2 linked regions of the Arabidopsis thaliana genome follow. The protein of the gene in region 1 interacts with the protein of each later gene in a biochemical or structural test. Each region holds a gene or a part of one and is shown in the gene's direction. Other genes may lie near its edges.

Region 1 (4,814 bases):
TAGTTAAATGCTTAATTACCTTTGGTGAAAAGTTGAAAACTTTAAACTAGCAAAATGAGCTTCATCAGTATAATCTTAGGTTCATCAGTTTCAAATTTGTTGCCACCAATTCAAAGAGCTTCTTCTTATGGTTGCATACCTTGAGAAGAGAAACTGAATGTTGTGAGTAAAGTTTCTTCTTAAGGTATTTTGTAGTTTCCAGGTCTGCAAGTGAGTAAAGCTCCTGGTTAAATCCATGTATGAGCTGCATCTCCCCACTTGAGCTCTTCTAAAGCTACCCTCAGCGAATGGAGTTGAAATTGTGTTTAGATGCAACAGGCTCCAATTTAGCTATAATCTGCTCAACAGCGTCTAAAACTGCAGCACCATACATATCAGAGCTCGCAGAAGCAGCAGTAGGTGACGCGTTAGGAACCTATTAAGAGGCAATCAAAACGACAAGGGAGCAATAACAGTGTGTGAGGCATTTGGAACCTATTAAGAGACCACAAAAATGATAAGAGAGAACAATATCAGTTTTGTCTTGGCCAAAAAGTCCACTGAGTGCATGTAACCGAGTTAGATGTACCTTGTATGTGCTTGTTTCTGACACAAAAACTGAACTAAGGGGAATGACACAACCTTTGTATGCAAATCCTTGACCCATTTCAACACCTCCATGTGTCACCAAAACAGTCCCATTGGTGCAAACATGAACAAGAGCACCGGCCTGTAATAATAATATGTGTTGGAGTAAGTATCTTAAAATCCAGATTCTAGATTTGCAAGCAAAGGTAGTGCAATGCTGAGATTTCCAAGGAAGCTTCATCTTATTCTTTTACCTTTAAAGTTCCTCGAGAGATGACTAAATTTGAAAGAAAAAGGATTCACTTCTAACATGATTCATGAACTTTGTGGTAAATGAATATGACAATTGTGTGGGAACCATAGCTACACCACACCATGCAATGTGCGGAAGAGAGTGAGATTAATGTGTGATGGGATCTTTGCAGTTGAAAGTTCATCTCCTAAAGTCAAGAAAACATTAAACTAACAAAATGAGGACAAACTTTTACCAATTTTCACATTTATAGAAAAATATTCAACTCACTTTGATTTCTTCAGGGGCTCAGCTGAATCTAGTTTTCAATGGTTGCAGAACAAAATGAAAATGAAAATTTTAGTATCTCAAAATCTAGTTTCTATTTTTTTTGGTGACATTAATCAATGATTTCAAAATAACTAAAAACCTCAGAATAAACTCAATTCCATCTTAAAACCACACAACTTTCATAACCGAGGAATGACGAAAAACAAAATAATAGAGGAGGAGCATCACTACTATTTTCATTTTTTTAGCCAATCAGAGCGCACCAGAAAACGCCCACTCGCACCAACCTCGTGCCACGCGCTACAGACCACGCCCACTCGCACCAACCTCGCGTTGAGCGCGTGTCGTCGATTTCTGTAGGGGTAAACCCACAAAATCATGCTTATTTTACATCTACTCGCTTTGTTTCCAAAACAGTCTCGAGTGACTTTTTTTTTTGTTTTTTTTTCTCTAAACCGTACTAATTCTAATGCAAACCGAACCAAAATCAATTTTCATTTCAAAACCATGTAAACCAAACAGAGATCAACATCTAACTAACCGGATTTAACTAGCAATCTAATTCACACAAATCTTTTTTTTTTTTTTTTTTCCTATATCCTTCACAGTCAATAAAAAGAATAAGTGGGCCGTTGTGACTTCAAAATCCCAATAGTGAAAAAGCCCGATTTCGTGTCTCTACAGCCGTAAGGCCCGTAACAAGCCCACGACCTCTAATTTTTCAAAAACAATCAGACCGTTGGGGTTCATTTATTTTCTTTAATTTTGTTTTTATTTCTTATAAAACGGCTCATCGTCCTCAAGAAGCCTCCTATATAGAAGACGCCCCCACTACTTAGACTTTTTCTACTACAAACCTGAGATTTTAGTCTGAGAGAAAGAGAAGAGAACACTAAGATGATGACTTCTCGTTCGATTGTTCCTCAACAATCCACGGGTAAGAGAAAGATCTTTGCTTTTTCTTTTTTTAAGGTTTTTACGGACAAAATTTGATTTGGTTTAGTTTGTGATCTTCGATTTTGGTATCTGGGTTTTGTTCGTTTCTTTCTGTTCTTGTTATATCTATGAACAACGAAACGAATATGTTGCGAATCAAGTATAAAGTCCGTGGCTTTGACTGGAATTTTCTTGATTTGATATGGCTGATGATTGTTGCAAATTGAATCTAAAGTTGTTAACTTTGGTTTTGTTTTGTTGTGTTGAAGATGATGTTGTTGTGGTAGATGGCAAAAACGTAGCGAAAGGAAGAAACCGTCAAGTTCTTGGTGATATAGGTAATGTTGTTCGAGGAAATTACCCAAAGAACAACGAACCGGAAAAGATCAATCATCGTCCTCGTACACGATCTCAAAATCCCACGCTTCTTGTGGAGGATAATCTCAAAGTTTGTTCCTTTTCCCCTGTATTTTGGTGAACAAATTAGGTTTCTTCGTTAGATTTGTTAAACTCATGTCATATGTGTATATGTCTTTGATCTGCAGAAACCTGTAGTCAAGAGAAACGCAGTACCAAAGCCGAAGAAAGTGGCTGGGAAACCAAAGGTAGTAGACGTGATTGAGATAAGTTCAGACAGTGATGAAGAACTTGGTTTAGTTGCTGCTCGAGAGAAGAAGGCTACTAAGAAGAAAGCGACCACTTACACATCTGTTCTTACTGCTAGAAGCAAGGTAATTTTTTACCTTGTGAAATGATGATTCTTTAGTGTGAAGTAAGAAAATGTTTTGGTCTGTTCTGAATAAACTTCTTTTGCTTTTCAGGCTGCTTGTGGTTTAGAGAAGAAACAGAAAGAAAAGATTGTTGATATCGATTCTGCTGATGTTGAGAATGACCTCGCAGCTGTGGAATATGTGGAAGATATTTACAGTTTTTACAAGTCTGTTGAGGTTTGTATACTATACTATTCATGAATCTTTCCTTGCAGCTTTGTTGTAGTATTAACTTGTTTACTTAAATTATCATTTGGATTGGCAGAGTGAATGGAGGCCACGAGATTACATGGCATCTCAGCCTGATATTAATGAAAAGATGAGACTGATCCTGGTGGAGTGGTTGATTGATGTGCATGTCCGATTCGAGCTAAACCCGGAAACATTTTACCTCACTGTTAACATTCTGGATCGGTTCTTGTCGGTTAAGCCAGTGCCTCGAAAAGAACTGCAGCTTGTTGGTCTCAGTGCTCTTCTCATGTCGGCCAAGTATGAAGAAATTTGGCCACCACAGGTGATAAAAACAGAGAACTTTTGAATCTTCTGGTTTTGATTCTTTTTTGTCTTCGGCTAAATGAAAAGATAATTCTTTTGCAGGTGGAGGATCTAGTTGATATTGCAGACCATGCATACAGTCACAAACAGATTCTGGTGATGGAGAAGACAATACTGTCTACACTTGAGTGGTACTTGACAGTTCCGACTCATTATGTCTTCCTAGCTCGTTTCATCAAAGCTTCCATTGCAGACGAAAAGGTAAGAGAGCGTTTTTTTAGTTTCTTCCATGGTTATACATTTCATCATATTGAACATTCAGTTGTGTTTTGGTTTGCAGATGGAGAATATGGTGCACTATTTGGCTGAGTTAGGCGTAATGCATTACGATACGATGATAATGTTCAGTCCATCAATGGTAGCTGCTTCTGCAATCTACGCAGCAAGATCTTCTCTCCGCCAAGTTCCCATATGGACCAGCACTCTCAAGCATCACACTGGCTATTCTGAGACTCAGCTCATGTAAGAAAGTTCCTTTCTTTTTTCATTTGCATCATATGCGTTTTGCATTTGTGGTTGGATATTCATTCTTGTTGTAATGATGAAAAAGGGACTGTGCAAAGCTGTTGGCGTATCAGCAATGGAAGCAACAAGAAGAAGGGAGTGAGAGCAGTACTAAGGGAGCTTTACGAAAGAAATACTCCAAGGACGAACGCTTCGCTGTGGCTTTGATCCCTCCGGCCAAAGCTTTGTTGACCGGAACTGAATCTGCTTAGGAGTTAGGACCCTTTAAGAAGACGAAGAAGCTGAAGAACCAAGCCTAGTTTCATTTTCCTTCTGAAAATCAAGTCTAGTTTCATTAGATAATGGTATTTTGAACAAGTCTAATGAGTCGCTTTGAAACCTAGTCCTTTAGCATGATTCATTCCCAAACACTGCATATCTTGTAAGAAGTCAGTTTCTTCCGAGAAGTTTAATTTCCTTAGATATAATATTCTGTGGTTTAACTTCTTTAGTACACATGATTCATTCCCCAACACAGAATTTCTCTTCTTTTTTTTGATCAAACACCCCAGCACAGTATATGTTTCACCATTTCTTGTGTTCCTTCTGGTCCCGTCCATTCTGGGTTTTAAAACCACCTTCTGGTCTGCAAGATCCCCTTAAACAACTAAGCACTCCCATCTTTGGTGAGCATTTTGTTAGCCACAACCTCATAAGTCTAAATGGAAGTGCTAGCATCCATGCGGAAATTGTAAATCCAATCATCTTTGGATCTTCATCCGGAAAGGGAGAAGGTTTACCATATTAAGTTCCAAGGCCCTTTCTTCTAACCAATTCTTTACACCAATCCAATGTTTTAGATAACCGTGCCTCGAGGATCTCCAATATTGACCGTTTCCTTCTCTTTTCATCTTCAAGATCAAGAGTACGATATGCTAGTGTAAGCAAGTAGATACCTGGGTGCAGTCTCCTGGAGAATACAAAAAGTCATATATAAGTTAGATTACTTCACAAACAAC
Region 2 (7,603 bases), on another chromosome or scaffold:
TGCACCTGGCTGAACCACCCCTTCTACAGGAGATCCCTTCCCTTTATCATCCTGCTCGGTACTACTACCTGCCTTTGACTGCGACCACCAACTCGGACTCCCTGAAACTTGCTGACTCTGTTGTGCATTCAGTAGAGAAAAAGAAGGGCTTGCTTCCAACTTTCCTTTACCAGGAGTTACAATATTCTTTCCAGAACTCTGGAATGGTGTTCTTCTGTCAGACTTAGCATCTGGAGACGCAGAGTAGTCTGCAATACCAGACTCAGGAGAGAAATCGGACCGGTCATCCAAAGTATACATTGGAGGTGGTGGAAGATCAGATCCTCCGAAATTCTCACGCCATAGTGCAGATACCGCAGCTGCCTGTCCCGGACTCGAGAATTTCCCTCTACGTGCTGAAACAGGAGAAGCTAAATCTTGAAATAGCAGAGATTGCCTCCCTGATTTAGGAGTCCTGTGTGCTGCAGCACTCATTTTCTACTCAATAGAGTTTTATTTATCTCCCTGCAAAGACAAAAAATCATATAGCTTTGAGCAAAATTACATAAGAAAGCTAAAAAAACAAAAACAAATCAATTTTGCGACTTTAATTCACTTGGGCAAGATCAATATTGAATCTTGCGATTGAAATCACTAATCTAAGCTTAGCTACGGGTTTCTAGAGGATTAATCGAAAGAAAATTGAGGAAAAAGTTCAACAAAATCGCAAGTTACTGGGTTTTAAACGAGAAGGTAGTAAGATTGACGCCAATCATCGAAGACAGTACACAAATAGGAGTAATCACACTATCTAATGGATCGATGGAGAGGGAGAGAGAGAGAGCAAACCTTGAGGATGAAAATGGAGGTGTTTGAATTTCAGCTTTAGGAATCCCGGAGAAGCTCAGGTAGAGAGCTCAAGGGCGCGGAGGGAAGGTAAGTGAAACCCTAGAAACCAAGATTCTGAAAACGCAAAATTCAAGCGCCTTACGAAAAATGACGAAAGTAGCCTTGCATTTGTACAATGGGTTTGAATTGGGCCTATTTGGAAAGTTGTTGGCCCAGAAGGTTTCTTCAACATATAAAGGAATAACCATCAAAATTCTCAATCCAACATGGTGTAAAATTAAATGGTTGTAACTTGTAAGCTAATTTGTGTTATTATTTTTTTGGTCAACAATACATAAATATCTAGCATATACTTACCAATTAGTATCCTTAAAATGTGAGAATTCTATTAGCATTAATGCAATATCTCTCATCTTATCCTTAACTTAATTTAAAGAGATTTTGAGTATGTTTTCACAAATACTTTTCTAAAATAAGAAGAAATACTCAAGTTAGAATACGTCATCGTTTTAATACAAAAGATCGTTTTGAAAGGTTTAAGAGAAAATTGCCGCGTTTTTTTATCTAACGGTTATACAAAAAGTCGTTTAGGGTGTGAAAAAATTATCGCGTTTGTTATTTAACGGTCACATAAAAGATCGTTATGGGAATATTGAAAAAATTGTCGCGTTTGTTACCCAACGATTTTACAACAAGCAATTGCGTTTAAGATACATTATAGATGAATTTCCATAGTTATAAATTCAATGTTTAAGCTATATAATTTCAGTTGCATATCTAAATTTGGGGCACTCTAATCTTACTTCATTTGTGTTCTTTGTCTGAAACTTGATTTCTATTCCAGAACGCGATTTTTTCTTAAAACGCCAAACGCGGTCCTTGTCTTGTTGTCTCGTCCACCAAAAAAATCTGGGGCACTAGTGTCACAAAAATCACACGCTCGTCGCGTGAGAAAGTTAGGCTTTTGAAATACTTTAGCGGCGCGCGATTACTTAGGCGACATTACACACACAGCCTCCGAGGAACAACAACAACATCGATTGTCTCGTCAATTTGGTCATCATCATCATCAGATGATGGAGAATCTACTGGCGAATTGTGTCCAGAAAAACCTTAACCATTTTATGTTCACCAATGCTATCTTCCTTTGCGAACTTCTTCTCGCCCAATTTCCATCTGAGGTATCTCGATTTCGATTCTTCTATATTCAACTCCATTTCGATTTTCAAATCTTAGCTTCGTCTCTTTCGATCACATCATTTTTAAGATGTGGAGTGACTTTTTTCGTTTTCTCAGTTTTTGTTGCTCTTGTGGTCTGATCCGATCTTCTAGTCGTAGCTGTCTTTTGTTGTGTGACTTTTTGAGTTGTTTGCGAATAGACAATTCTCGATTTATGCGGAGTTCAATTCTGGGCTTTGTTTTTAAGGATCAAACTCTATTTCGATTTTGTCGGAATCTAGAGGATGCAATTCAATTTGACTGAAATGTTTATGATTTTGAGTTGATTTTGTGATTTTATTCCAAACCTGGAATTTCTAGGTTGAGATTTCTGTTTGATGTATGCCAATGTCAATTCAGATTGATACCGTTACTCGAATTTCACATCCCTTGATATATTTTTTTGGTTATGTGAATCTGGTGGTGATCAACTACTTCATTATGCAGGTGAACCTGCAATTGTTAGCCAGGTGTTACTTGAGTAACAGTCAAGCTTATAGTGCATATTATATCCTTAAAGGTACTCTACATTCTTCGGTACTGGTGCTATATGTGAACATTTCATATATTGTTTTATTTGTGTTTGGAAAAACTAAACTTGTTTTACATTGTGAAATGAAGGTTCAAAAACGCCTCAGTCTCGGTATTTATTTGCATTCTCATGCTTTAAGTTGGATCTTCTTGGAGAGGCTGAAGCTGCATTGTTGCCCTGTGAAGATTATGCTGAAGAAGTATATGGCATTGCTTTTTTACTTCTTTTATAAAAATTCTCCATATCCATGGGCATTGTACACATCTTTTGCAAGCTAGTCTTTTGGGAGTGAAAATTGGCAAGTGCTGACTAGTGACTACTGTATTTTTGACATGCAGGTTCCTGGTGGTGCAGCTGGGCATTATCTTCTTGGTCTTATATATAGGTGACTGCTAATTTACTTTTCAAGTTCTGTATGAGATATTGGTGTCTCTCGCATGCTTTAATGTTTAGTACTTCTCTGTGTTGGTATACTGATGCTGTAACAAGCTTAGTAGTTTGCTGCATATGTTCCATTATCTAAGTTTGATGTGTGTTACTCTCTGTTACATGATTGCAGATATTCTGGGAGGAAGAACTGTTCAATACAACAGTTTAGGATGGCATTGTCATTTGATCCATTGTGTTGGGAAGCATATGGAGAACTTTGTAGTTTAGGTAAGTGAAACCTCTGTATGAATTATGTATTTATCAGTTTATGTTTCCGTTATTCCAGCTGGATATCTAGAGCAACAAATTCAATTCTCTGCAATGGCGTTCTGTGATTACCTTTTCAGGTGCCGCTGAAGAAGCCTCAACAGTTTTCGGGAATGTTGCTTCCCAGCGTCTTCAGAAAACTTGTGTAGAACAAAGAATAAGCTTCTCAGAAGGAGCAACCATAGACCAGATTACAGATTCTGATAAGGCCTTAAAAGATACAGGTTTATCGCAAACAGAACACATTCCAGGAGAGAACCAACAAGATCTGAAAATTATGCAGCAGCCTGGAGATATTCCACCAAATACTGACAGGCAACTTAGTACAAACGGATGGGACTTGAACACACCTTCTCCAGTGCTTTTACAGGTGATATAATTAAGTCGAGCTAGTATGAGAACATATTAGTTACTAGCTTGAAATCCTCAGTTATTCAATGTCTACTATCTTCTTCAAGAGCTATATTTCTTTCATAAGGTAATGAGAAGTTTGTAAGCTGTTTTCCCTATCTTTAAGTATCTTTATCGTTCAGGTAATGGATGCTCTACCGCCTCTGCTTCTTAAGAATATGCGTCGTCCAGCAGTGGAAGGATCTTTGATGTCTGTACATGGAGTGCGTGTGCGTCGAAGAAACTTTTTTAGTGAAGAATTGTCAGCAGAGGTTATATATCTACAATGGGCTTTGAGTGATTTCTTCCTTGTTTTCTTTGCATAAGAGTTTTCTTATTAATGCATAGGCGAAGAATGATCATCTATCTAGCACTGCAGATATTTTAAGTTTTTAACATAGAGCTTCCCCCACCTTGTTTCTATCTTCTAGCTCTATGGCTGGACCATCTAAAGCTACTTGATTTATTGGTCTTCTTTTACTTTCCTTATCTTGAAGGCTCAAGAAGAATCTGGGCGCCGCCGTAGTGCTAGAATAGCAGCAAGGAAAAAGAATCCTATGTCGCAGTCATTTGGAAAAGATTCCCATTGGTTACATCTTTCACCTTCCGAGTCAAACTATGCACCTTCTCTTTCCTCGATGATTGGAAAATGCAGAATCCAAAGCAGCAAAGAAGGTGATGTTTTACTATCATATTTTTCTTTTCTGTCTCCCAAACCGGACTATAGAGCCTCAATTGGTTGTAATTTTTGAAATGGAAAAAGTTAGATCTCTAGTTAAAATTCATGATGTAATAATATAGGTGGCTTAAGTAATTTACATGACAATAAGACTTGAACATATATGTGCAGTGATTCCTGATACCGTTACTCTAAATGATCCAGCAACGACGTCAGGCCAGTCTGTAAGTGACATTGGAAGCTCTGTTGATGATGAGGAAAAGTCAAATCCTAGTGAATCTTCCCCGGATCGTTTCAGCCTTATTTCTGGAATTTCAGAAGTGCTAAGCCTTCTGAAAATTCTTGGAGATGGCCACAGGCATTTACATATGTACAAGTGTCAGGTACTTTACTAAGACAATGTGTGTATTGGGTTCATATTCTTCAACTTGAATTCTCTGCTTAAAAGTTAAAGTATCGATGTCGAAGCCTAAAATGACAAAAATGGATACTACTGCAGGAAGCTTTGTTGGCATATCAAAAGCTATCTCAGAAACAATACAATACACACTGGGTTCTCATGCAGGTGATAATATGAATGGCTTTTTCTTTGCTCCTTTTTCATTGGAATGATCTTATTTGGTCATTGACGTCATTTTCTAATTCCATTTTGTTGGTTTTTGACACTGAAACTAAAAACCATGGATACATTTTGAAATAGGTTGGAAAAGCATATTTTGAGCTACAAGACTACTTCAACGCTGACTCTTCCTTTACTCTTGCTCATCAAAAGTATCCTTATGCTTTGGAAGGAATGGATACATACTCCACTGTTCTTTATGTGAGCTGTTGTCACTATTTGCAAATTTTCCTATTATTCATTATGAACAGTCCCGAACTAATCTTGAACATGATGTTGACTCTGAACATTATCCTGTTGTGATATCAGCATAGAGAACTTGATTTTTGATTGACCTGCAAGGATTTCTATGTAATTGTTTTTTACTTTTAGTAATTTCGTATTTTTGTTTTTGAAGCACCTGAAAGAAGAGATGAGGTTGGGCTATCTGGCTCAGGAACTGATTTCAGTTGATCGCCTGTCTCCAGAATCCTGGTATCATTCTTAGAATCTTCATTACCAATATGCTCTTCCGCTTTCGTTTCGCAAAACTTACATGATCAACCCACATATGTCTACGTCGAGACTCTAACACCACAAGCTTTAACCACATACCGTCAATGGAAACCAGCTTTTTGCACTAGCATATCAAAATCTGAAACTGCAGACTTTTCTCTTTGCTTGTATTTTTTTCTGTAATGACTGTGGTCGCAATATGAATTGCAGGTGTGCAGTTGGGAACTGTTACAGTTTGCGTAAGGATCATGATACTGCTCTCAAAATGTTTCAGAGAGCTATCCAACTGAATGAAAGATTCACATATGCACATACCCTTTGTGGCCACGAGTACAATTCTTTTCGATGCATCTTTTGCGCATAATCGGCATATGCATGTACGTTAATAACATACCGGTCTCACCTTGGCTGCACAGGTTTGCCGCATTGGAAGAATTCGAGGATGCAGAGAGATGCTACCGGAAGGCTCTGGGCATAGATACGAGACACTATAATGCATGGTACGGTCTTGGAATGACCTATCTTCGTCAGGAGAAATTCGAGTTTGCGCAGCATCAATTTCAACTGGCTCTCCAAATAAATCCAAGATCTTCAGTCATCATGTGTTACTATGGAATTGCTTTGCATGAGTCAAAGGTATCTGAAATACGCTCTTCACATCAACAATCTGTTAAGTTTAGAATATCGATACCTTTATTCCTTAACCAAACCAGTACACACTAACACATCCCTAATATCATATATTACTCTTTATGACTTTGTGATGTTCTTATTTGGCTGTGAAATTTAGCTTTCCAGAAAGTTATAGTCCAGAGATAATTTTTAAGGTTGAGATAATATTTTGCAGAGAAACGATGAGGCGTTGATGATGATGGAGAAGGCTGTACTCACTGATGCAAAGAATCCGCTCCCCAAGTACTACAAGGCTCACATATTAACCAGCCTAGGTGATTATCACAAAGCACAGAAAGTTTTAGAAGAGCTCAAAGAATGTGCTCCTCAAGAAAGCAGTGTCCATGCATCGCTTGGCAAAATATACAATCAGCTAAAGCAATACGACAAAGCCGTGTTACATTTCGGCATTGCTTTGGATTTAAGCCCTTCTCCATCTGATGCTGTCAAGATAAAGGTTAATTACTCCTTTCCTGTTTTTGCTTCACAAGCATCAATCATGGTCACATTTTGCATTTAGGAGTTGAAATTAGTTAATATGAGATCGAATAATGGATAATTAATCAAAACGTTATATTTCTCATAATCTCATGATAAATCCTTAAAAACTTACTTAATAGAATTTTATTCACTGTCTGTGCCTACAGGCTTACATGGAGAGGTTGATACTACCAGACGAGCTGGTGACGGAGGAAAATTTGTAGATTTATTGTGCAGGTAATACACCAGATTATGTTTCTCATATAACCCAAAGTCATCTGTAATTTTTCTCATCTTTAGATCAGTCTTGTGGACTAACCCTAAAACAAAACTGATTATATAAACTTAGAGGGTAATATTACAGAAAATTGTATAGAGTTGGGTTGAATTTTCATTTCTTTTCCAAGTTGGAACTTTTGTTCCTTTCTCTTTGCATAAAATTTGTGGCACTCATTGCACCAATGGTAACTATCTGGTGAAAGATTTAAACTTTTAAGGCAAACTAAAAAGCAAAGTTTAAAGAAAAAAGGTTTAGCCACAGTGGCAATAATATAGTGTTTTGATTCATTCCTTTTCGAAAAAAGAAAAACTTTTGAAATAAAAAGATATAGTTGTAAAGCGTATATACCAATACCATCATACTAGAAGGCCAAGTCATCTTACAAAACCTCCACTAGTTAAATTTTTGTATGTATGTCATCTAGAAAAGCAAGACCTAATATCCATATATAGATGGCTATAATACATAGTGCAATCTAAAGTACAACTAAAGTTGATAATACAATTCAAATTTTCTTTTTCTTTTCCATTTTTTGGGTTATTGAAATCCTAAAGCTATTTCACAACATATTAATATGTTTGTGTAATGTTCCACGTTTAAGTACTTCTTTTCGTAGAAAAGTTTTTCTCTTTCTCTCCTCTTTATAAATCCCACACACATTGATCCTTAGTCCATAAGCAAATATCAAAGCCAAGAAAAACAAAACAAAACAAG

The links. The genes of interacting proteins can lie anywhere in the genome.
Region 2: of the proteins of CYCB1;1 (region 1) and CDC27a, one has a biochemical effect on the other in vitro, tested with the Arabidopsis thaliana proteins (one study listed by BioGRID).

The regions. Positions count from the first base shown.
Region 1 is NC_003075.7:17,621,382-17,626,195, reverse strand, and holds CYCB1;1 (CYCLIN B1;1), read left to right. Parts: upstream 1-1,887; 5' UTR 1,888-1,987; coding exon 1,988-2,027; intron 2,028-2,295; coding exon 2,296-2,474; intron 2,475-2,571; coding exon 2,572-2,757; intron 2,758-2,847; coding exon 2,848-2,973; intron 2,974-3,061; coding exon 3,062-3,310; intron 3,311-3,393; coding exon 3,394-3,552; intron 3,553-3,631; coding exon 3,632-3,813; intron 3,814-3,901; coding exon 3,902-4,067; 3' UTR 4,068-4,310; downstream 4,311-4,814. Other genes in the region: AT4G37500 (Aldehyde oxidase/xanthine dehydrogenase, molybdopterin binding protein), read right to left, coding at 281-415, 569-808; AT4G37483 (uncharacterized protein), read left to right, coding at 4,376-4,603; AT4G37480 (Chaperone DnaJ-domain superfamily protein), read right to left, coding at 4,600-4,765.
Region 2 is NC_003074.8:5,527,633-5,535,235, forward strand, and holds CDC27a (Tetratricopeptide repeat (TPR)-like superfamily protein), read left to right. Parts: upstream 1-1,680; 5' UTR 1,681-1,901; coding exon 1,902-2,009; intron 2,010-2,493; coding exon 2,494-2,566; intron 2,567-2,667; coding exon 2,668-2,777; intron 2,778-2,916; coding exon 2,917-2,963; intron 2,964-3,137; coding exon 3,138-3,235; intron 3,236-3,354; coding exon 3,355-3,644; intron 3,645-3,807; coding exon 3,808-3,936; intron 3,937-4,161; coding exon 4,162-4,339; intron 4,340-4,514; coding exon 4,515-4,726; intron 4,727-4,842; coding exon 4,843-4,908; intron 4,909-5,043; coding exon 5,044-5,163; intron 5,164-5,359; coding exon 5,360-5,436; intron 5,437-5,667; coding exon 5,668-5,787; coding exon of another isoform or gene 5,788-5,821; exon of another isoform or gene 5,822-5,873; coding exon 5,874-6,093; intron 6,094-6,304; coding exon 6,305-6,586; intron 6,587-6,776; coding exon 6,777-6,833; 3' UTR 6,834-7,102; downstream 7,103-7,603. Other genes in the region: AT3G16310 (mitotic phosphoprotein N' end (MPPN) family protein), read right to left, coding at 1-474. UniProt on the Arabidopsis thaliana protein: Component of the anaphase promoting complex/cyclosome (APC/C), a cell cycle-regulated E3 ubiquitin-protein ligase complex that controls progression through mitosis and the G1 phase of the cell cycle.